2 linked regions of the Alligator mississippiensis genome follow. The protein of the gene in region 1 interacts with the protein of each later gene in a biochemical or structural test. Links are inferred from orthologs where the notes say so. Each region holds a gene or a part of one and is shown on either strand. Other genes may lie near its edges.

Region 1 (12,260 bases):
TTATGAAAAAGAGGATACCATCAACCTTCGCCTTCTCCTCAACCTGCTCGTTACTCAGCCAGCAAAAAATCTTTTAAGTCAACTTTCACAACTGCAAGCCCTTATAAAGTCAGCAACCGCAAACTCAGCCATTGCCCTAAGCTATCTTACTGCATATCCAGTCAAACATCAAAAGCCAAAACATTCCCAATTCAACTTACGAAAGGAATCAAAACTGCCACCCCAGAGGACACCACAGAAAAAAGCCATGTTTGGGTTCCTCCTAAACCACTTCACGCTTACCAAACAACGGCTACACGTCCTAAAAAATGCGAAATAACAACAACTGGCACATATACTAGGCTACCAATCTCAACCGATCCTGCCAACTGGTCCAGGCCCCGGAGGCACCCACGCCTAACAGCACACTCCGGATAACACCGCAGCCTGCCCTAACAAAAAACTACTTGAAGGGGGCATCTATGAACTAGCGCTTCAAAAGCCCCAACCATAAAAGCCAAAGCTCACCCGTAAACACCACACCATCGTCAACCACATCCGCGAGTGCACAAAAAAGTCATCTGCAAACCCAAGCAGTATCCTGGCTCCTACTCTGTGCTCCTAAAAGGCGATCAAACTTGGTCGCTCATCATAGCTCATCACAACTGGCTAACTCGCCGCCATGCTGTTCACCGAGTATGGCCACCCTTTTCTTCGTTTGTTTGTCTGTTCGTCTGTTTTGTCCCCTTACAGGCCCAGCAAAAATGAAAAAGCAATCTGTAACTGCCTAATCGCAAAAATCACCAACCACCAACCTGCAACACACCCGGGTCAACGCCACAATGGCTGCCTGCTCATATGTCACAAAGCAGGGTCGTCGCTCTATTCCTGCAGTTACCAACAAATTTCTCGGCGAACAAAGCTAACTTCAAAACCTCCAACTCGGTCCTAAACCTTTTGTCATTGTAGGCCAAAAACACAAGTAACGATTCATTTTATGGTTTTTCTTTTCCTGTTAATAATCTTGTACATATTTGTTTTGTTTTAAAGCCTGTTCAAAACTTTATGCAGTGAAGCCAAGTCATAATGTTTTGAGTGGAAAGCTCTGAATTATTAAAAAAACCCAGCATTAATAATCTGAAGGTTTGGGGGATGTCGCAAAAAGGTCGAGTGTAAACAAAAGCATTAAATGAAAGAGAAAAAAAAATTTGCCTTTTTAGTTTGGTTTCTTAACTAAAACACGAGAGAGCACAAAAAACAAATGTAAAGGCTTATTATATGTCGTAGGTGGATGAAGGACAGGAAGTGTCAAATCGTTAAAAAAAAAGCAAGTAGTAATGTATAACAAGGTTAATGCGTTTCAACAGTCTTAAACAAAAAAATAAAAAAAATTGCAAAAAACGCCAAACCAACTCTCGGGTATAGGCCAAAGTTGGCTATCAAACCTCTTCCGTTGGTTTGGGTGTAACACGTGATCATGGTTCCTCAACTTGTTAATACCCTTCATTATGCTTTTGTTATCAATTGCTATATTTGTGTGTTTTAGCTGTTGAAATTTACAATATCTCAAAACAAAGTTAACCATGCTTTTTGCTTTTGTATACACCCGCTTGCCAAATACTAACAATGATAAACAAAATGGTCTGTACATAAACATGATGTTACTTGCTGTGCCATGGGCAAGAGGGCATGTCTCAACCAAATTAAGTAGTGCCCATGTCACAAACAAGTAATAACCATTTAAAAAAGTTTTTTCTGCACTAGGTTAACTAAGGGTTAACAATAATGATAGTAACCGCTTTTTTCTGCGCATGTCAAAAAGAAATTTATTGCTGCGCCACTAACAGAGAGAAAAACTTTTGCCTTCTTTGCTTTATATAAATCATTATAATTGGTCAAAGAAAACAAGGAGTAACCCTGTGAAAATAACACCCTAGCAAAGACCGCTAGATAATTGGCGATTCTAATTAGATTTATGACGTGGCGAAAAACAATTGGCTATCATACAAACAAAACCCGCTTACATTTTTCGCAAAGTCGAAAACAACTCTGCCCACACCTTGGAGTAAATCTGACAATTTGATCAGTTGTCAGCGTCTTCCCGCCGCGACCTCCCTGGCATACCCTTGCCCCGCATGCCCAATAAGCCGACCGCCGGCCCGTATATATATATCTGCAGAATAACTAAACAACGATCTCTAAGCTGTAACTAACTAAGTATCTCTAACCTCCGTCTTACATCACCTTGACGTAAGTAAACAATCTTGCTTTGCAACCGATAAGCGTCTGCCTAATTAATTCCACTCCACGCATCACAAGTACCCGCCTAACGGCCTTCTAAGGCCCCGAACCCTTATCTGCTCGGGTGGGAGTCAGGGAAAGCTGCTGGCCGGCTGCCCTGGGTCCCAACAATATACAATCCAAAACAATGTGATTACCCCCCAGGAGAGAATACAGTAACTAAATGGACTCTACTCCAACACTGAAGTGCTTTCAGTCCAGTATCAAAACACATAAGGTGCACATTTTCACAGGAGCTGACATGAGTGATCATGATCTTCTCATATTGCCAATAATGATCAAACTCAAGAGGAAACCCCAGCAAGAAATCCCAGGTTAAAAGCATGATCTGGGCAAGCTACAGGACAGTCTGACCCAGGGGTGGGCAAGATGCAGCCCGTGGGCCAGATGTGATCCACCAGGTGGTCCTCTCTGGCCCACAGGGCCCCTAAAAATTTCAGAAAATAAATATTTATCTGCCCCTGGCTGCCTGTCATGTGGCCCTCGATGGCTTGCCAAAACTCAGTAAGTGGCCCTCTGCCCAAAATAACTGCCTGTCCCTGGTCTGACCTGAGCCGAGTTTCTAGACAAATTAAGATAAGAGTTGCCTGTCTCGATGGTGGAAGATTTCAAGGAAACAACAGCTGGCTTCAGGTAATATCTAAACCAAATTGTGCAAGTTCTAGGAAGACCAGAGAAGACAAGGCAGCCATGGGGTATCCTCTAGATCTATGAGATTAGAGAAGGGAACTAAAACCTAAATGCTACTGTTGAAGAAAGGAAGCAGAGAATTAGAGCCTGACTAGCAATATCATACAAAAATTTTGCAGAGTAAAGGAAAACCGAATAAACAGATGGAGTCAAAACACTGAATACAACTGATTGAAAAACAACATTAACAGGGTACATGGTATAATAAACGAATAGACTATGAAACAGGAAAAAGCATCTGTGACTAAAGACAAAAATAGGCATCTTCAGACAGAGGCGAAAGTAGTTGCAGACAGATGGCAGGAGCACAGTGAGGACCTATACAGACACAGTCTACATATTGTTCCTAACATCTGCAACAGTCTAGCAAGTGAATAACACAGAGAAGAGGATTTGTCCATATTCAGAAAAGCCAAAGAAGTTTGAAATCTTAAAATGGTAAGTCAGGATGAATAGACACTATATCTGCTGAAATGCAAAAAAAGGGGAGAGATGCCATTGTTGTAAAATTGTTACAAATTTTTACAATTTTGTAAAATTGTTACAATATATGCAGCATGATCAGGCAGTCAGAGAGGTGACCAGTGGGCCACCTATGGAAATCATTCCATGTTCCCCAGGGAACCTTCAAATGTGAAAAAATACACTACAAACGTAGATGCCAAGTATTACCATGCATCCTTCTAAACAAGCTAGGTTTCAAGTAGAAATCTTACCTGGAGAACAATAAGCATGTTTCAGAGCTGAACAACAGGAAATATCTTCTCCTTAAGAGCACAGAGTGAAACATACGTAGAACACCATAGACTCCAAGAAGTATGGAGTCCATCCATAGCAAGGGGTATTATGGGTAAGAAGCAAAACATCAGCAAACGAATAGTGACAGCCCACTGCAACAATGCAGTCATTGCAGATTAGCACACCAAGTGACTGGTTCCATGCAACAGTTGGAATCAGACAGGGATTTTGCTTATTGCTATGTTTGTTCAACTCTGCCCAGAATGTATTGTGTCAGAAGTCATCAAAGAATTTGAAAGGGACAGCTAACAGTAGGAAGAAGATGTGTAACTTCAATTTTGCAAATGATGTTGATTTGATAAGAACAGAACTACAACTAGTAAAGCCAACAGGAAGCCTAGATAATCCTGCATGAAAGTTAGCACAGATGCAAGCTTCTTAATGTTTGTGGGAAATTCTATATTCAATCAGAAATTTACTCCAAAGGTAAGAAAATCAAACCAGTGGATGTATTCAAGTACATCAGAACTTCTATAACAAAAGATAGAAAATGGAAAGCGGAATTGCTGTTATGACTGTAGCACTAACAAAACTGAAAGAAAGCTTGAGAGACAAAAACATATGAAATGCATCTAGACAGAACTTCTTAAAATGACTGAGTTCTCAAAAGGATTGAAAACGTGGATTCTTACAGCAGCAACAGGATAATGAATTCAAGGTTTTGAATTCTGTTGTCTCCAAAGAGTTCTGTAGATACCATATAGCATATCTATGGACTAAGAACTCTATTAGAGAAGCAGCAATTCAATAATTGAATTATTTGAGCTCCTAGTTGCAACAGTAGGAAGACAGGACTGCTCTGGCCACACGACCAGAATAGCAGTCCTAGCAAACACAATTCTTCAGGGAACAACTGAAGAGGAAAGGAAGAGAGGTCACTCAGACATAACCGGGCACAAAAATATCACCTTCTAATGGGATTCACAGGCAAAGCCTCTCAAAGCCGTTGAAGAGTAGCTTGAGATTACAATTAGTGTTGTAGATTCATGCCCCACTGACCGAGTCACTCACAGGATAGAGAAGAAAGGTTGTCATTTCTCCTAACAGTAGGGGCCAGAGGTATAAATGCTTAATAGTGGTCTAAACCAGAGTTTCTCAACCTGTGGGTCGCGACATAAAAGTGGATTGCAATATATGAAAGGGTCACAGACAAACTTTAAAAATGGATTCTCCTTTAAAGGAGAAAAACATGGGAAACCATGGGTTTCCCCATGCAGGCTGGCAGAGTTCCAGCCTGCAAGGGACTGCTTTGGGCTGGGGGGAGTGAAAGGAGGGTGATCAGACAGGGGCATTATGTGCGTATGTGTGCACAGGCATGCACATGGGAGCCAGGCAGTGTGGAGAGCAGCTCCCGTAGCTTCCCACAGGTCAGTCTATGGGGCAGAGGGCAGGGGACGGGACATAGACGGCACATCGGGGAGACAGGGGGAGCAGAGGTGACACATAAGAGAGGCATGGGTGGGCACATGCTCTCCCCCCTGCCCCGGATTTGTACACCCACAACAGGCATGGGGCTGCAGACTTGCTGGACTGGCACAAGGAGAGCCACCTCTGTGGCCCAGTGGACAGGACCCAGAGTGGTGAAGCAGAGTGGGGTAGTGAGACTTGTTATTGCTGCCACCACTGCTGGGCCCCCCATACCAGCCATGCTGCCAGCAGCATAAGGACTAACAGACTTGGGGGCTGCACTGCCCTCACCTCCTCTCACTGCCAGCCGCTCGGGCGCCAGATCCTGGCTCTATCTTGCTGTCATGGCCTGGCCACTGCCACTGTGGCTCTACCCCGGAGGGGAAGTGGGGTGGTGGACAGCATGGGTGGCCTGAGGGAAGCTGCAGGAGCGGTGGTCAGGGCCTGGCAGCTGGGTAGAGTAGAGGCCCGGCCTGAGAGTGGGTGGTGGTGGGAGGAGGTGAGGTGTGTGTCCGTCCCATCCATTACTCCTTGCATTGCTTGTGCCATGACTGGTTCAGGAGTCCCGGTGGCAGTGGAGGCTTCAGTGAGTTTCACCATCCCACTCTGTTTTCCCACATAGAGTCCCACCAGGGCAGCTCCTGCCAATGCCAGTCTGGCCAGGCTGTAGCCCCATGCCTGCCGTGGGTGCACAAATCTGAGGAGAAATGTGCCCCCCCTGCCCCCCCTCCCCCACACACTGGGGAACTGGAGCCTGGGAGCAGTGGGTCAGGAGTGAGGGGCACCAGCAGGGCTGGGGCAGTGGGGGGGTGATGGACACTGGCAGGGCCAGGCAGTTGTTTTCTACTTAAACTATTTACTGAGTTGGGACTGGCCATCAATATTTACAAATGGGTCTCGATACAAGAAAGGTTGAGAACCACAGCTCTAAACCATAAAGTTAATTTTCCCTGGTTTATGTCCCCGAGATGACTCTGCCTTTCCTTTCTTTTTTGCAGGCCAAATGCTTGTCCCACATTTTAGATATTTCTATCGTCACAAAATGCACAAGAAATGCTATTATTTGCTCCAGGCCTATGCAAAGCAAGAGTGGCTGTTGTTTTTTCACTTCCATATATGCTTCTAAACTCCCTTTCTGTTTTACTGTGGGGATGCCACAAACCCTGTGAGTCTTATCAATTTCTTTTATTTTATTAGATTATTAACAGTTCCTCGACAGATTAAAATTCTGATATGCCTAACAGCAAAAACCTTTCAAATACATTTGCATGTCTGCCGTAGTCTTGGAGGGAAGCTGCAGTTCTAGAGTTTCGCATTTCTTTTTGAATGCAGTGCATTCTTCTTCAGGTCTCCTGCATTTGAAAGCTTGTCTCTCCCAACCATGCAGTTAGTCCAGTAAAACGTATCACCCACAAAAATCCTTGCCTCTGTGCCTGTCTGTATGCTTCATCTCCATGTCGGTGCTGCTCCTTGCTGGTAACCTAGGAGAGTTTTACAGCTCTGGAGCATGGCTGGAGTTTTACAGCTCTTCCTCCCCTAAATACCTGGGCCAGTGGCTGTCAACCTTCAAGGCTAGGTTGGAGACAGCCCTCAGAAGATGCTGGTTCTTCTTCCACTACAGAAAAGTAACAGAGCAGCGGTTCCCAAACTCACCACCCATTTAAAAGGATACAAAGTACCACCAGCAATTTTTTCAGTTCAATCTGAAGTACCACCAGCAAATGTTTGTCGTATGAAGTAATTATAATAAAGCTGTTAATATAATTATATGTTATAATATAATACCGCAGATGGGGAACCGCTGTACTTGTGCCATTCTATTGCAAAGCACTTAGAAAAAGCAGAATGTTTTTGGCACTGAAATCTCTCTGGCTTTCTCTTGTGAATCAGATCTGCCCGGCTCCCCTTGCCAACAGGCTGAGCACCCTTGACAGGATCTCCAGGCCCCGCAGGCGTCCCCTGCTCGGGTCTCAGCGCGCTAGGCGACGAGGGGCGGGGCTGGGGCGGGGCGGGCACACGTGGGGGCCTCCTCGGGCAATCCCCCCACGTTCCTTCCGGGTTCGGGCCCCGCCCCTCGCTTGTGACGTCACAGGAGTCCCAGGGCTCCGGCCGGGTGCGCTGCGATGTCGCTGCTGCCGGGCGCCGCGGCGGGGTCCCTGCCCCTCGGCCGCCTCGGGGAGCCGCTGCTGCGGCGGCTCAGCGCCCTGCTGGACCGCGCCGCGCCGGGCAAGGGCTGGAGGGACCTGGCGCAGCGGGCGGGGACCCACGGCAGGGTCCGGCTCAGGTGAGGCGCGGGCGGAGCGAGGGGCCACCTCGCCTCGTCCTCATTTCTGGTGGGCCAGCGAGCCCCAGGCGCTTCCGGCCCCCAGGGAGGGTTGTCTGGCTTGCGCTCTGAAACCCTCCAGGGGCTGAGGTCCGGCGGTGGTCCCTTTCCAGGGCTGCCTCCTTACAGGTTGTTTTCCTAACGTCTGACCTAACTCCCCCTTGCTGCCGATTCAGTTTCTTCCCCTCCTTCCTGGTAGCGGGCGTGGAGAGCAGCTGGTCTTTTACCTCTTGGATCATTGTTATCTTCCCCCGAAAGGGGACTCAGGGGGGCGTGGGGGGAAGGTTGTCCCTGCTCCTCACACTCCAGTCATGGGGGGATGGTTGTTGTCCCTCCCACATCTGCCCTTTTCTAGACTCCCCAACCCCAGTTCCTGCAGCCTCCCCCCATGGATCACGCTGTGTACTTCTTGTTACTCTCCTCCAGCTAGTTTCTTTATATCTTGCTTGCCTGGTGGTGCCCTCCAAAACAGGAGTCCTGGTGGCAGTGGAGGCTTCAATGAGTTTCACCATCCCACTCCAGGGTCAGCACAAAGTAAAGTGAACATGTCTCCTTTGAAGCATGTGCACATATGTTAAAGAGCCACAGCTTTGAGCTATAATTACTGTTCTCGAGTCTCCAGCCACAGTAGTGTGGTTGTACTGAAGGAAGCGCCTTATCTGTTAATGCACAAAAATGGAAATGAATTGTACTTGGGTAGAAGAACTTTCAGTGAAACTTTCTTGTGGTGACATGTGACTCGATATAATCTTTCCATCAATATGTTCCTCCTCTAGTTCTTTGTGTTTTGAAAATTGTTGTTACAGTCCTGTCTCTGATTAGAAAGAGCTCTGTGGGCCTAAAAACAAAGGTTAAATGTATGAGTCTCTTTACATCCGGCTTTACAGATTTACAGTAGGACGGAGTTGCATATTGGCAAGTGGCAAACATTGACTGAATTTACTCTTAAGCTATTGAACATCTTAAAGATCTTACCATCAGCACAGAAATGCAAAGTCTTCCTGGAACCATAGGTGAAATCCTGAGTGGGTGACTCATTCTTTACTTGTTTCTGAAGTAGGTGTGCCGTAAATGGAAAGGTAGTCTGTGATCACTTTTTAAATTCTCATCCGAAAAACTGAAGTCCTGCCTACATGTTTAGGAGCCTACCTGATGTATTTGGTTAGAATTTTAAGATACACAGATCCCTTGTGCTTTGTTAACTGGTTCATTTAGTTTCCACCTTCTACTTCAAGTGGTTTCATTTAAGCCACAGTATGTGATTTATACACAGATTACAACTGCTTTGAAATCCGATTGGGATTGGGATAAATCGGGGGCATTAGAGATATGGCTGGTGGGCTGGATCTGGTCTGCAGAGCCATATCATCCGGCCTGTAGGGCTCCTGGGAATTCAGGGGCATGGGGCCCACTGCTGAATTCCAGGGTATAGAGGTTTGTTGGGGACTCCTGTCAGTCGTGGTGGAGTGAGTGACAGCTAAATTAATCCCCGTACCTTCCTGAATTGACAGTCTTGCTTGCACAATGCCTCTATTGCTCGTCCAGTCACTAGAGATGAGTCCATGGTCTTCCTGCTTTACCTGTGGGTAGGTTAGGGTGTTATGTCTCATAGTTGGGCCAGGGCTGACTGTAGTTTTGCTCATGGGCTAGAGAATGAATTGTATAAAATGGCTTGGATGGGAATGATCTTGCTTCAAGCAGAGTATGAACTAGATGACATCTGGAGGTCCCTTCCAGCCTTACTTTTCTATGATTCACCTTGAAAGGAGCCCTGGGGCCCAGATGAATTTAACACCCCTGCTCAGCATGCTTCCAGAAGACGTAAATGATTTCCCAATGGGTTATAATTCACTTCTTAAAGAGGATTAGAAATGTACATTGAGAAGACCCTTTACGTAATTGGTTTCTTTTTCATGCTTGCAGTTCTCTGGATTTGGAACAATGCTCTCTCAAAGTCCTGGAGCCAGAAGGAAGCCCGAGCTGGAGTCTTCTGAGACTAATGGGTGAAAGGGGCTGCACTGTGCTGGAGTTGGTGGAATTCTTGCAGGCCCTGGAACACACAGAAGCTCTCCAGTGCCTTAATCCCCCAGGTCAGTTCTGGTTTTTCAATTCATCACTTGCCTTTGCTGGAAATCATCTTGAGATGTGTGTGTGTTCCTTGTGGGGAGTAGAAGAATTTCTAGTTAAACGTTGTAACAACTACAGATGAGTTTCTAGTTAAACACTACAAACATTTCTGATTTGGAAATCAAATCAGCTTCCATAATCAGTGTGTTTCATTCATTAAGTGTCTTTTGAAGTTATTTTTTAAATAGAAGATCCAGAGTGATTAACTTGCTTGGAACAGAGGAAGCAAAACAGGGTTGGAAAAAATCTGTTGTGAAGTGTGTGTGTGTGTGCACGTGCACGCACGTGCTTTGAGAGCAGAGATAGTCAGTTTGCTTACTTATTTATCTTAAAAGTTGGCTTTTACTACTGCAGTTAGAGCCACACACAGCTTTGGGAAGTTGGTTTCTTCTTGTGTTATATGAAGGAGATCCAACCTGGGTTGTAACGTCCTGCCCCCATGCACGTTGTTTTTGCTGGGGTGTATATGAGTTTTGAACCCAGACTTCCTTTTTTGAGTACTGTAAAATCAAGGACTCAGAAAAGAATATATACCCTAATGTAATTTCATTAATTCTGAATGCTGATCATAAGTTACACTGGAACTGGGAATGGCCAGGGGAGCAGCTGTTTTGGAATAGTTTACAGAGTAGGTGGCTGTAGCTGTGCCTTGGCACTGTATGGGGGAGCAAGCCCTGGCCTGCTGGCTTGTGTCAGATGGCTATCCTGTGATGCGCTTGGGTAGATGAAACCTAAGGTGGTGGTATTTACATTGATTCCTAGGTAAATGCTCACTGGGTTGGATGGCTCTTCTGTTTTAGGAGCTTGTCAGCTGTCTATTGTTGTTTTTTTCACACTTGTGTAACACTGATTACACTGCTTTAAATGTTTCATCTGCCTGTGCTCAGTCACTTACCACTTACTAAGTGGTATTTAATCTAGTTTTCTGTCTATGCTGCTGGCATGACCTTCTCATTGAATCATACCTTTGCCTTCTCAGGGTGAGAAGGTACTACTAAAATGTTTCATGCCTTCTACCTGCTTTCAGTTGCAGAAATGGATGTTGCTTTAATGTAGATGGCTGGAACAGGTCGTGATTCTGTGCTGTATCCATGCTTTGGCAACAGCTGGAACAGTAACTGTTGAAAAACATGAGAAGCATGCAGAGGCAGAATTACTTTTGTTAACTGAGTTTTTTAGGCTGAGGGTCTTTTCACGTAGACCCCTGGAAAAGCAGAAAAGTTGGCCAAAAATTTGCTGTGAAACAGTTAGTAGAGCAGCACAACTTGGTGCAATGCTAAGAACAAAGCAATCTTAGTGTCTACCCCATGTTAGAGCAGTACCAGTGTGAACATGCCTAAGTGGATATGACGTGGGAATACCTTAGCAGTGTAGATGCTCATGCCCTGCTTAGCTAAGTGAGGTGTCTGGGTTCAGGTGAAATCTGCAGTTACCCTAAGTTGCATGTAGATGGCCAGTGGTGTTTTCAAATAAGTGACTAAAAATAGGCAGTTGATTAGTCATGTGATCAGTCATGTTAGTCTGAAATTGGGCAGGGTGGCACCTGGGACTAACTGGTTCTGAGAGGCATGAGTTTTCCTAGGGAACAGCTACCTTGAGATGCTAGGAATTGTCCGTTTCCTCTAAGGTGCAGCCCTGCCCTGCCCTGCCCTAGCTTTTACCAGTTATTCGCTCAGTTATGCATTTAAATCAGCAGTGAGACAGGCTACGCCAGCAGTCAGCAACCTTTTAAGGCTGTGTGCTGGATTGATTTTGACACAGTTTGGACCAGAAGAGGCTGCTGATGCTTTTCCCAGTGGCAACAAGTGGAGAACAACTGCTGCCGAAGCCCTTATGTCCAGGGATCAAATGGCTCTGTTAACTGGATCCCATGGGCCATAGGCTTCCAACCCCTGGGTTAAGCTGAGGACAGTTTGAGGGAGTCGTCATTGCACACGTGAAACTGAATTCAGTGTTTGTGAAGAATCTTTGTGATCCTGGTGGTTTTTCTGACCTAGTGGCACACTGGTTGTTTGCTGGTGGCAGCTGAGAGGCTGCTGCTTTGAGCACAGCTGGCTTTACCATGTAAAGGGACTTGACTGTTCCTTCTGTCTTGAAAATGAAAAAGAGCTGTTGTACCATCCTTGGTTTCACTGAGGTCTGTGATTGTTTTGGGTTCTGCAATTCCTCTGATGGCTGCTATTAGCACCATCTAGCATTTCATCATTTTGTAATCTAGCAAGAACCCTCTACCCATCACAGCAGTTTAGGCTGCCTGTTGATCTACTGGGGCACTTGTACACATGATGGAGTTTAATCCTCATTAAATTAAATTAAATGGACTCTGGCACCTCTATTGTTGTGATGCATGGCAAATTCTCAGTGTTACCATTTATAAAGCTTTGCCACCATTTCCTCTTTTAAATTCATCTTTGGAACCTTCTCTGATGCCAGCAAATCATTCACGTCCAACCAGGACTTCTGCTTTCCTGCTAAATTATATCCTTTTGTTACCTCGTTTTACTAGTATATCTCTGCCCTGTTCATATGTTATGCCTGTTGTTTTCTGTGCGACCTGCAGATAATCTTGCTCCAGAGAACTCATGATCTTCATTGTATTGTAGATCTTGTACAGTAGGTAACAATGGGCTACTTA
Region 2 (12,208 bases), on another chromosome or scaffold:
GGGCTCTGTGCCCCTCTCCCACTCTCAGGGGGCCGTGACTGGGGTGCCGATCCCAGGGCGGGGGTTACCGTGGTCCTTGGGCAGGTAGGTGAAGGGGAAGGGCTCGCTGCAGACACTGTCAGTCAGGCGTTGCAGGAACACGGCCACCTCCACAGGCTCAGGGATGTCCAGGTGCTGGTATGGGGGTGTCTTGAAGACGATGGCGACCTGGCGGTGCACGTCGGCCTGCGAGAAGTCGGCCTTGGCCTCCCAGGTATCCTTCCGGAAGATGACAGCGATGTCCTCTGCAGGGGGTGTGGGGTGAGGGGGCAACAGGGCCAGGCTGGGCAGGGGCACATGGACCTCTGCACCCCTCCCAGCAGATGGGGCTGGCCCGGCCCCCCCAGGAACGGGTCCAGGCCTGGGCACCAGATGCAGGCAGCTCGGACACCTCCCGTCTCTTCCCTGCGCCCAGCTGTAGCTGGGGCTTTGCAGTCCCCAAGTCCCTCACAGGCAGCTGGGGGACCCCCTTTCACCCCCCACACCCCACCACCCTCCTGACCCCAGCTCCAGGCCCCCTCGACGGGCTCCCACCCCTCCTCTGAGCTGCAGCTGGAGCTGTCCCCTCCGCCAGGACCCCCCACCCAGGGCAGCGAGGCTGAGCTGTAGTCCCCCACTTGCCTTTCTGGACCTTATCGCAGAGCAGGTACATCTCCTCCCCACCCGCGCAGGGCCCGCACTCCTTGTTCATGCGGCAGATGCGCAGCTCCGACGTGTTGGTGGACTCTGTGTGCACCAACACAGGCTCAAGCAGAGGCAGCGGTATGGCATGGGAGCCTAGCCTGAGGGAGCAGCCCCAGCCGCACCAGGACAGGCCTGTCCAAAACCCGTGGCGAACCACGATCCCCCAGGTTGTGCTCCAGTGCATGGGAGCATCTGTCTGCCATGAGCAGTATGGGGGCCAGGACACACAGGAAAGCAGCTGCCAGCCAGGCGAGCAGATACTGCCTGCGCGTGGGACCCACACAAGAAGCCGAGGTACCAGGCAGGCCACGGCCACAGCCCCTAGCCTGCCCAGCCACCCTCCAGCCCCCACCCTGGCCACTTACTCTTGTCAAAGATGGGCTCGGAGAGCACGGGGCTGAAGTGCCGTGTCTGCCCGCTGGCGTCGCGATAGGAAGCCTGGAAGCAGATCCGCACCACGTTCATGTCCACCTCCTGGTGATTCTTCAGGGAGCCAGCTGTGGGGGGAGACGCAGCGAGTGGGGCTGCTGAGTGAGTGCCCCCACCCCCAGCTGCAGCACAGGGTCTCCCCCCACCCTGGATGGCCCCAACGTGACCGTCCCTGCCCCCTTTCCAGTGGGAGGGGAGGCCGTGGGTCCCTCTGGAGCCTGGGGACCTCCTCCCCGCAAAGGAAAAAGCAATTCCGGACCAGGAGAGTGAGACTGTCCAGCCCCATGGTCCCAATCCAGACAGCTGCAAGCCCTGAGCTACGACTCGACTGTGCCACCCACCCGCTCCACATCCTGCCTCCAGAACCAGGTGCGCAACACCCCCTGCAAACCCGGGGTGGGGCCAGGCCAGCAGAGGAGCTCTGGGATGCAGGGCACAGGGTCAGAGGGGCCTGGGGGTGTCCCCATGGGACCTTGGTGGGCTCCCAGATCCCCTCGGAGCTCCTGGGCTGGGCTGGGTTGCAGGCAGCGGGTGTGCCCCCCCCCCCCCCCCCCGGGTCACCCACCTTTGAAGGGGTCGATGCCCAGCTGTAGCTTCTTCTCGATGGCTCCCTCGATCTCCTTCTTCTTCACACACTGGATGCCGAGATTGCTGAAGCTGCCAGGGCCAAGAGGGCATGGGCTGGAGGCTGGCCAAGCTCCGTTGTGCTCATGAGCTGCCCTCCTTCCCTGCCCTCAGCCACGGAGGGGGCACCACTGCATGGGGTGCTGCCATGTAGCACCCAGGGGCCATGCCAGCCCCAGCCCTGGCCCCACTGGTCCAGCCACTACTGAGCATGGTTCCCCCTGGGGCTCCTCCTCCGATCCCTCTGCCTCCTTCAGAGCTCTCCCAGGCCCAGAGAGAGACACGGGGATGCCCAGTCCCCACCTTCTGCCTGGCCCCAGCTCCACAGGGCCCCTTCACCTTCCCCACATGGCAGCCAGCTGAGAGGCCAGGTGGGAGGAGCTCTGAGGGGATCTGGGAGCCCACCAAGGCCTCACGGGGACACCCCCAGGCCCCTCCGACCCTGTACCCATGCCTCTGCCCTGCCTGGACAGGCCTCCACCTCCGCATGGGGCCCCCTGGCTTGGTGTGTGCCCCTAGGCTGCAACCTAGGAGGGGCTGCTCTGGTCCCAGGGCCAGGACCCCGAACCACCTGGCTCTCCCACCCCAACCCCTGGCAGCAGCTCCTGGGAGGTGCTTGGTCCCCAGCCAGCGGGACGGAGCCCGGGGCACCGCAGCTCCGGCTCCTCCAGCAGACAGGGGCTGGGGTGCCAGGGGCTCCGTTCTAGCCCAAGGGCAGGGAACAGCGAGGAAGAAGCCACAGCACTGGGAAATCGCTGTCAGGCCACGACTGTCCAAGGGCCCCAGATACCGAGCCTAGGCCACCCCCGGGACGGGGCCATGTGGAGGAGTCTCCCAACCCCCAGGGCTGCGCGGCTGGTACCTGTGCTTGGGGTTGGTCTGGGGCTTGAGGGTGACCTCGCAGAGCCCATTGCTGCAGTCCTTGCCCACAAGGCCGTGGGGGTGGATACGGAACGGCCAGTCCTTCCACACCAGGCAGGCCGTCACCTTCACCTCTGGGATCTTCTGGCAGTTCAGCAACTGGGGAGACGCCAGAGGCTCATTGCAGGGGGATGGGGTGGGGGAGGCTGATACAGGGATAACAGGGAGAGAAACCAGGCCCCCACCCTGGACAGGGGGCTCCCAGCCCCTCTCCCAGGGCAGGTTGGGTCCCCTGCGGCCAGGCCAGGCCAAACAGCTCAGCCCTGTTCCAGCGGGAAGTCCAGTTCTCATTGTACGAGAAAGTGGAGCACAGGGTCCAGAGGTGCCCCCACACTTGCCCCTGGCTGGGGGAGATGTGATGGTGCCTGGGTCCAGGGTCCTACCCCATCGTGGGGGTGGGAGGGGAGGAGGGGTAACCCAGCCAGGCCTGCCTGGCTGTCCAGCAGGAGCTATTGGGGGCAGGGGGTGAGCACAGGGCCCCTGCCCAGTGCCCTGCCCCCTCCTCACCTCGATGGCTGGCAGGGTCTTGCTGGCCTCAGTGCTACTCTCGCCCAGGATGCTGCCAGCTGACCGGCCCTCACACTCATAGCGGAAGCGCATGCCCCGCTGCTTCGGCTGCTCTGTGATCACCAGCTTGGGCGGCTCCAGCATGTCCTCCAGCTGCTCCTTGGCCGTGGGCATGGACCAGTGGTGCTGGGCGGGCGCGGCGGTGGACGGGAGCGGCGTCCCCCGTGGCACCAGCCTCGGCGACAGCGTCAGGTTGCCCAGGCTCTGGGTGAGCTGGGGGCCCCGGGAGACAGGTGGCAGCAGGGGGGAGTCTCCAAAGGGCCCCAGAGTCCCTGGCAGCGAGCCGGACCCCAGAGGCTGTGAGTGGCGCAGCGATCTCGTGGGCACCATGGGGCTCGAGCCCCGGGGCACCAACTTGGCCGGGCCCTTGGGCATAGGCCTGGGCAGGAAGGACGGGGCATCCGGCTGGAATCCATCCTCCTTCATCAGCTCCTCAATGATCTCTGTGGTGGGGGGGGCACCATCAGGGCACAGCTGCAGAGACTTGCCCGGGGGCAGCGGGAGCAGCCAGGGGTTGGCACGAGTCACAGGCAGCATTGGGATGTGGTGGCAGGAGCCCTCTGCCAGCCACAGCCATGCACAGGGCTGCCCACCCTGGCCTCTGAGCCCTGCCCTGCACACACTGCCACAATGCCCGCCTTCCTCCCGGCACGTGCCTGCTGCCAGGTAACAGATGTGGGCAAAGCCGCTGGCCTGAGCTCCAGCACCACCCAGCCCCTGCAGCAGGGGAGCTGATCCAGGGACTCAATCTCAGGGAGGGAGGGAGGGGGGCATCTTCCAGCCTGGCTGCTGCAGCATGGGCATGCCCAGGGCACTGCTAGAAGTAGTCCCGGGCCCCACCCAACACCTCCCAGCAGGACACTCCTCCCCTAGTGTAGATGAAGCCCTGCGACAGCAGTCAGTAACTGCGCGCCAGGGTCGCTGGCCTGAACTGCAGGCAAGGGCATACCCAGCCCAGGGGAGCCAGGCTGAGTCGGCCAAGGCTTCTGCTGCCAGGTGGATGTGGAAGGAGAAGGGGCAGGGGCTGGGCACAGCCTCGCTTCCCCGAGCGCCCAGCAAAGGGCGCTGCCAGCACCTGCGGCAGCCAGCGAGTGGCCTTTGCTCCGTGTCTGCCTAGGGTAGGGCTCCTCTGCCCCAGCCCAGCTCCTGCATCATGGCACCAAGAGGACAGGCCCGAAGGCAGAGGTGGAGCCGCATCGGGGGAATCACTCCTGCCCAGACCCCAGGGCTCCGCGGGGGCCGGCAAGCTTCTCCCGTCTCCATGGCCTTGCAGCAGCTGGCAGCACCTACGGGTCCCCTGGCCTGGGCTCTGGGCAGGGGGGCGCAGGGGCTGGAAGCTGCCCCGACCCCACAGACTGCACCGCCGTCCCCTGTCACCGTCACGCCAGCCAGCGGGTCCCGCAGGCTGCGACCGCCCTGGCAAGCCCCAGGGCTGCACGTACCTGCTCCTGCCGCACCCCCACGCCCAGAGGTCACTCACCTAAATCCTCTGCAGAAGAGAAAGGAGAGGCTGGCTCTAGTTTGGCGCAGGCGGCTGCTCTCCCTCCCCCTGCCCAGGAGCCCAGCCACCCGCCAGGACCCAGGGCTGGCAGGAGCCCCCGGGCACCAAGCCCAGCGCCCGGCGCTGCCCCTGCTCTGGGAGAGCTCCTGGGGACGGGGGCTGAGGCTGTCGTGGGGCAGCGCAGGAAGCCCCCAGGATCCCTCTGCTGCGGGGGCCAGGGGGCATGCAGAGGGCCCGAGATGCCCGCGGCCCCGGAGCAAAAGCTCCTCCGCCCCGGGAGCTGCCTGCCTCAGTCCCCCCTGCTGTGAAACGGGGCCGCGCGGCGCGGCGCGAAGCGGAGCCCCCGGCCCTCACCGTCCGCGTGCGACGCCTGCGCCATGGCCGGGCCGCGGTCCGGGGCGGCGGCTCCTGCGGAGACACGAGGCCCGTTACCCCGCGCCTGCCCGGGGCGGCCCCGCGCCCGCCGCCCAGCGGCCCCGCGCCTCACCTGGCGGCAGAGGCCCCCGCTCCCGCCGCTGCTGCCGCCCCCGGGGCTGCCGCATCGCCTCCCGAGCCGCGCCGCGCCGCGCCGTGCCGCGCCGAGCCGGGCCGGGCCGCGCCGGGCCGCGCCGGGGGCAGCGCGGAGGCGGCGGCGCTGGAAATCCCCGGCTCCGCCGCCGCTGCCATTGGCTGCGCCCCGCGCTGAGCTCATCGCCCGGCGGGGAAAGCCCCGCGCCCGGGGGGCCGCCGCAGCCTCGCGCCCCCGCGCCAGGGGAACCGGAGCCCGATGCACGGCCGCCGGGGCCGGGGGCTCCGGGCCGGAGCTCCTGAACGCCGGGGAGCGGGGCAGCTGTGCCCTGGCCCTGGGCAGGGCATGGGGCAGCCGAGCCCGGACACGGACACGGGCACGGGGCACACACAGGCTGTGCCCTGGGCTGAGCGGTGGGCCCTTGCGAGCACGGCAGGACGGAGCCCAGTGCAGGCGGCGTCTCCCCAGGGCCGTGTCAGCAGGGCTGGGAACGCCTGGCCGCCCCGCAGTCCCTGGGGCAGCAGACACCAGACGTAGCCAGCTGGGGGTCAGGGCAGCCTCGTGCCCACCGCAGCCGCAGCCCATGATACCTGTCCAGGGAGCCGCGGCAGGCCGTTCTTGCCTTGAGCTGGCACAGCAGAGAGCAGCAGAGCTCCTGGCTCCGGTGCTGGGATCCAAGTGCCCTGACTGCCCTGGGGGGCAAAGCCATGCTCAACACCCGAGCTCAGCGCTCACCGAGGCTCTGGGCTCTCAGTTCCCCTGTGCCTTGGGAAGAGGTGAGAGCAGCACAGGACTAGAAGGCACAGCTGGTTCCTCAGCCCCCGGTGAAGCCAGAAGGGCCTGGGAATGAGGGTGGGTGGGCGGACGGGGCATGGGGGAAGGGTGCCACGAGGCAGTGCCCCAGCCTGAGTCAGCACGTGGAGTCCGGGGGACCTGGAAACACTGACTGGTAACCAGCCAAGGAGCCCCAGCCTCCACTTTCCCTGGCGTGGGAGGGGCACACACAGGTTCTGCAGCGGAGAGCACATGCCGCTCTGATCTCCCGGGAGGCTCGGAGGTGCTCTGAGAAGCATGGCCTGCCTCCTTCCCACCCCCAACCCACTCTCCCCACCCAGCCCATGGAGGGGGGACCAGCTTCCAGACTGGCTCACCAGGCACAGGTGACCAGAAAATCAACTCCCAATGAGGAAGCTGGATCTGACACCCCCTTGGTTGCAACCACACTGCAGAACCTTGCACCAGGCGCCTGCATCAGAGACCTTGTGTAATGTGTGTGTCGGGGGGGGGAGGGGGGGGCAAATGAATCCAGTTCTTAATCTAATCCAAGTGCCAATTCAGTTCTGCGTCTCAGTAACTGTCTGCAAAGATCCATGGGCCACCCACTGACAACCTCCCCCAGACCCATAGACCTGGGAGTCTAGATGTTCCCCGTATCCAGGTGGCCAAGCTACAGACAAGTCCTGAGCCAGGAGGCCTGGGGATCGGATGCCCCCAGTCATACTTGATCATAGCAGAAGGCCGAGAACCACTAAATCAAATGACCTCAGAGACCAGCCTCCCTGTCCCATCTGGCAGCACCATCGTGCTGGGCTCCCAGAGCACGTACGTGGCACAGAGTGGCGCTTTCCCCAGTCACTTCCTTGGGCAGAGGGGGCTGCATCTGAGCTGCCTCTGGACTAAGTGAGCCCAGCCTGCCTCCACTGATGCAAGGCCGGGGAGGGCTGTAGCTGCAGGTAGCTCAGAGGCATTTCTCCTCTGGCAGAGCTGAGGGAATCAACTGACTTCATGGCCCATTATACTCTCCTAATAGCTCTTCATTCCACAGGTGTGAACCACTCTCTCCCTGTGAACAGTCCTGAGGTTTCACTATTCAAACTCTCCTTCCTTCTGCAGCACTGATGCCTGTTAGCCATTCCTGGAACTTCTCTCCCATTTTGCAGCCCTGTAGGCTGTTTTTAGTTCAAGCTGAAAATTTTAACTCAGAGGTAGTGCGATTGACTTGTCTAGAAATGACTGACACAGTGAAGTACTGGAGACGATGTTAAGATGCTCAGGGATACTACATGTTGTTTTACAAATCTGGGTAAGAAATGCATATTTAACTATAAAAGCTACAAGACTAATGACCAGGGATCCTGGTTTTCACTGATTTAAAAAAAATCCCCCATTTTCGGTTAAAAAACCAACCCCCAAATCAACATTTTTTCCATGATTTAAATGAAACACCACTAATATATAGCTACCTATATATTAGTGGTGTTTCATTTAAATCATGGAAAAATGACATTTGTTTTTGCTTTAATCTTAAACAGAATAACACAGTGCTAGGTCCCTGGCATCTTCATAGATTCATAGATGTTAGGGTCGGAAGGGACCTCAATAGATCATCAAGTCCGACCCCCTGCATAAGCAGGAAAGAGTGCTGGGTCTAGATGACCCCAGCTAGATACTCATCTAACCTCCTCTTGAAGACCCCCAGGGTAGGGGAGAGCACCACCTCCCTTGGGAGCCTGTTCCAGACCTTGGCCACTCGAACTGTGAAGAAGTTCTTCCTAATGTCCAATCTAAATCTGCTGTCTGCTAGCTTGTGGCCATTATTTCTTGTAACCCCCAGGGGCGCCTTGGTGAATAAAACCTCACCAATTCCCTTCTGTGCCCCCATGATGAACTTATAGGCAGCCACAAGGTCGCCTCTCACCCTTCTCTTGCGGAGGCTGAAAAGGTCCAGTTTCTCTAGTCTCTCCTCGTAGGGCTTGGTCTGCAGGCCCTTAACCATACGAGTGGCCCTTCTCTGGACCCTCTCCAGGTTATCCGCATCCTTCTTGAAGTGTGGTGCCCAGAACTGCACGCAGTACTCCAACTGCGGTCTGACCAGCGCCCGATAGAGGGGAAGTATCACCTCCTTGGACCTATTCGTCATGCATCTGCTGATGCACGATAAAGTGCCATTGGCTTTTCTGATGGCTTCGTCACACTGCTGGCTCATGTTCATCTTGGAGTCCACCAGGACTCCAAGATCCCTCTCCACCTCTGTGCCACCCAGCAGGTCATTCCCTAGGCTGTAGGTGTGCTGGACATTTTTCCTCCCTAGGTGCAGCACTTTGCATTTCTCCTTGTTGAACTGCATCCTGTTGTTTTCTGCCCACTTGTCCAGCCTATCCAGGTCTGCCTGCAGCTGTTCCCTGCCCTCCGGCGTGTCCACTTCTCCCCATAGCTTTGTGTCGTCTGCAAACTTGGACAGAGTACATTTGACTCCCTCGTCCAAGTCGCTGATGAAGACATTAAAGAGTATCGGTCCAAGGACCGAGCCCTGCGGGACCCCACTGCCCACACCCTTCCAGGTCGAGACCGACCCATCTACCACGACTCTCTGGGTGCAACCCTCTAGCCAATTCGCCACCCACCGGACCGTGCAGTCATCCACGTCACAGCCTCTTAACTTGTTCACCAGTATGGGGTGGGATACCGTATCGAAGGCCTTCCTGAAGTCTAAGTATACAACATCCACCCCTCCTCCTGTGTCCAGGCGTTTCGTAACCTGGTCATAGAAAGAGACTAGGTTGGTCAGGCACGATCTGCCCGCCACAAACCCGTGCTGGTTTCCCCTCAGCATAATCTGCCCTGCCGGGCTCTCACAAATGTGAGCCTTGATAATTTTTTCAAAGACTTTGCCTAGGATGGAGGTGAGACTGACCGGCCTATAGTTGCCCGGGTCCTCCTTCCTCCCCTTCTTGAAAATGGGGACCACGTTAGCCCTTTTCCAGTCCTCCGGGACTTGGCCCGTGCGCCATGAGCGTTCGAATATTCCCGCCAGTGGCTCTGCAGTGATGTCGGCCAGTGCCTTCAGCACCCTCGGATGGAGCCCATCTGGGCCTGCCGACTTAAAGGCATCCAGTTCTTCCAAGTGACTCTGCACCATCTCAGGGTCTACGCATGGCAGTCTGGCGCCTTGCTGCTGCCTCTCTGCAACCCCAGTGAGAGACTTGTCGTGCCCCTCGCTTAGGGACACTGAGGCAAAGACCTCGTTGAGGAGTTCAGCCTTGTCCCCCCTGTCTGTCACCAATTGCTTCTGCCCATTTAGCAGCAGTCCTATTCCTCCCTGGGCCTTCCTTTTACTCCCTATGTATCTAAAAAACAATTTCTTGTTGTCCTTTACTTGGGTTGCCATCCTCAGCTCCATGGTAGCCTTGGCCCGCCTAACTGCCTCCCTACAAGTGCGAGCAGAGGAGGTATATTCATCTTAGTTAAGCCTCTAGTTTTTCTTTAACTAGACACAAACGTGCGTCACACCCCACTGTTCAAAATCCTGCATCCACCCACACTGTGCACCAAAAAGCGACGTGGCTCTTCTATGATGGCACCTGGCTTGGCAGGACGGGGAGCCGTGCGCGAGAAGGCCCTGTCTGACTTGCTAGCCTGGCTGCAGAGCCTCGCAAGGCAGAGCGGTTTTCAGGAACATCTAAATGGCTGCACTAAGAAAAACTGGCCTTTGAGCCACGAGCAAGCCTCGTCCTTAACCGCGACGCTGCCCATCTTCCGCTGTGCTCGCAGCCCAGGCTGCGTGGGCTTCGTGCAGAACACGTGACACCAAAAATCTGGGTATTTCTGTAAATGTTGGCACTGAGCTCACTCTCCCTTTGTCCGCAGACCCTGGCACTAGTTTGAGCTGGCCTCAGCCTCCCCAGGTGTCACGGCCACCTCTCCCACCCCTGGCACTGGTGTCAGGGCAACACCCCCATCAAATGGGGCCAAGCTTTGGCTCTGGGAGTTGCGACACCCGACTCAAATGAGCTCCTGCTGCCAGGGCCGGGATCTCCCTCGGTTTGCCCAGCCAGAGCAGGGCTGCCTGTGGCCTCTCCCGCCTCCGGCAACGCGGGGTGCAGGGAAGCAGAGGAGACCGGGGCTCGTGGGGCAGCGTGAAGACGAGGGGGAGGGGGAGGTTGGTTACACCAGAGGCTGCGACACCCGGCGTGGGAACGGCCGCACTCGAGGGGCTCCGCGTCCGGAGCAGCCCGGGCTGAGGCAGGACTGGCCCCGTGCGAGCCAGCCTGGACACCCTCGGCCTGTGAGCGAAACGACCAGGCCTGCCCTGTCCTGCCCGGGACAGAGGCTACAGCCTCCCTGTGCTGGCGCTCGCAGAGGCTGGCAGTGGAGGCTCCGGATGCCCCGGGAGAGCCCGGCCCCTGACCCCAGCTCTAGGCCGCGCTGGGTCTGACACAAGCCCAGGACAGGGATGACGTCACGTGCCAGCCCCCGGGCGTCGCAGGGGATCCTCCCACGTGGCGCCTGCTGCAGCCTTGCAGGCCCCGCCCCTACGCCCCGCGGCCGGAAATGGCGTCCCTTGCCCCGGAAGCGGCGCGTCGCGCGGGCGGGGCATGGCGGGGGCAGTTCTCGCGAGAGCGGCTCGGGGCCTGGGCGCAGCAAGATGGCGGCGCCGGAGACGGAGGGGGCGGTGGGTCCCGTGCCCGGCCCGGAACAGGTAGCGCCCCCCCCCTCCTTTCCCCTCTCCTTCCCTCGGCCCGGCCCGGCCCGGCCCGGCCCCCGGATTACAGCGCGTCTCCCCGCAGGTGACGAGTAACGGGACGGCCCCGCCGCCGCAGCAGCCGCCGCCTGCGGCGCCCAACGCCTGGCAGGTCATCAAGGGCGTGCTCTTCCGGTGAGACTCGGCCCCGCGCCCCGTGCCCCCGGCCCATCCAGTGCTCGGCGCTCGGCTCCCTACCCTGTGCCCCCGGCCCCTCCCCCGCTCGGCGCTCGGCTCCCTGCCCTGTGCCCCCCCGGGCCCCGCTCGGCGCTCGGCCCCCCTTTTTGTGCTGCCCTTCCCCGTTCACCGCTCGGCGCTGCGCCCCGGCCCATCGACTGCTCCCCAGCCCCTCGTGCCTCCTCGCGCGCGGACCGGCGGGCGGGCGGCCCCTCTTCCACCTGGATCCCCGGTGCCCTCGGGACCTCGTCTGGCCAGAGCCGCAGGCGCGTCCCTGGCACGGTTTGCGGTGGTGCCGGCCCCTGCCCCTGCCCCTGCTGTGAGCGGGGGAGGCCCTGGGGGGCGCGGGGCTGCAGCCCCTGCACTGCCGCCCATCACCTGTCTGCGTGCACTTGCCCTGCCCGTGGCCCTCGCAAGCCACAGCACCTCTGGCTCGGCCTGCTCCTGGCCCAGCCACCATCTGCCTGCCCGGGAGGGAGGCTGTGGCCGCAAGGACCCTGGGGGCCGCGGGGCCGTTTCCTGTCCTCGCCGGGCAGCACCCGCTGGCTCCTTGGGCACTGTCCAGCGTGTCCGTGCTCGGTGCGCTCGTTACCAACCTCCCCTCCCATCTCTGTGTTGTATCGTATTTGTCCCCAGCCTTCGCTGGTGGGCCTTTAGTTCCCCCTGCCCTTATTAAAGGGACCTGTAGCCCTGTCTGGGCATTGGCTCATGGTCAGGAATGGCGTAATCTGCTGCTCTGCCATCTGTCCCATGCTCCTCAGTGCTCTGCTCTTTGCCGTCTGCTCCCTGCCACACTTGCTGCTTTGCTGTCTACTTCCCACCCCATCTCCCACTGTGCTGCCTGCCCCCTGTCTGCTGCATCTCCCCACACGGAGGCTGCCTGGGCTCCGTGGCACTGGCGCTGTAGGTTTGCACCCCTGTAACGCAAGGAAAGTCAGCAATTGGTTTCTGCAGTGTTTGGCAGCCTCAAAGGAGTGCAATTTCTGCAGGGAGCAAGTGACCCGCTCTCCTCCTAAGGAGCCAGTCATGCTTTCTCACAGACTTTAGCAGCCGTGAAGAAGGATCCAAAGTCTGTCGTGGAACAAAGTCCTCCAACCCCTTCCGGAGCCTCAGTGGGCAGCGCTGGCTGCAACCTGATTGGAGAAGGCTGGGGGCTGCTCCTTCCAGAGACTGCCCTGCCTCCAGAAGCGGGCAGCTGAGCCCAAACGTTCCTGTTGCAAAGGGATCACGAGCAGAG

What was found.
Region 2: of the proteins of MALT1 (region 1) and RELB, one has a biochemical effect on the other in vitro, tested with the Homo sapiens proteins (2 studies listed by BioGRID). The link is inferred for Alligator mississippiensis from reciprocal best matches to the Homo sapiens genes MALT1 and RELB.

Annotation. Positions count from the first base shown.
Region 1 is NC_081826.1:282,800,389-282,812,648, reverse strand, and holds the start of MALT1 (mucosa-associated lymphoid tissue lymphoma translocation protein 1), read left to right. Parts: upstream 1-7,268; 5' UTR 7,269-7,298; coding exon 7,299-7,459; intron 7,460-9,421; coding exon 9,422-9,588; intron 9,589-12,260. UniProt on the Homo sapiens protein: Protease that enhances BCL10-induced activation: acts via formation of CBM complexes that channel adaptive and innate immune signaling downstream of CARD domain-containing proteins (CARD9, CARD11 and CARD14) to activate NF-kappa-B and MAP kinase p38 pathways which stimulate expression of genes encoding pro-inflammatory cytokines and chemokines.
Region 2 is NC_081838.1:224,426-236,633, reverse strand, and holds the start of RELB (transcription factor RelB), read right to left. Parts: upstream 5,382-12,208; 5' UTR 5,308-5,381; coding exon 5,253-5,307; intron 5,174-5,252; coding exon 5,120-5,173; intron 4,754-5,119; coding exon 4,745-4,753; intron 3,708-4,744; coding exon 3,205-3,707; intron 2,797-3,204; coding exon 2,639-2,796; intron 1,810-2,638; coding exon 1,718-1,809; intron 1,221-1,717; coding exon 1,089-1,220; intron 766-1,088; coding exon 661-765; intron 285-660; coding exon 69-284; intron 1-68. Other genes in the region: putative lipid scramblase CLPTM1, read left to right, coding at 10,507-10,752, 10,841-10,929.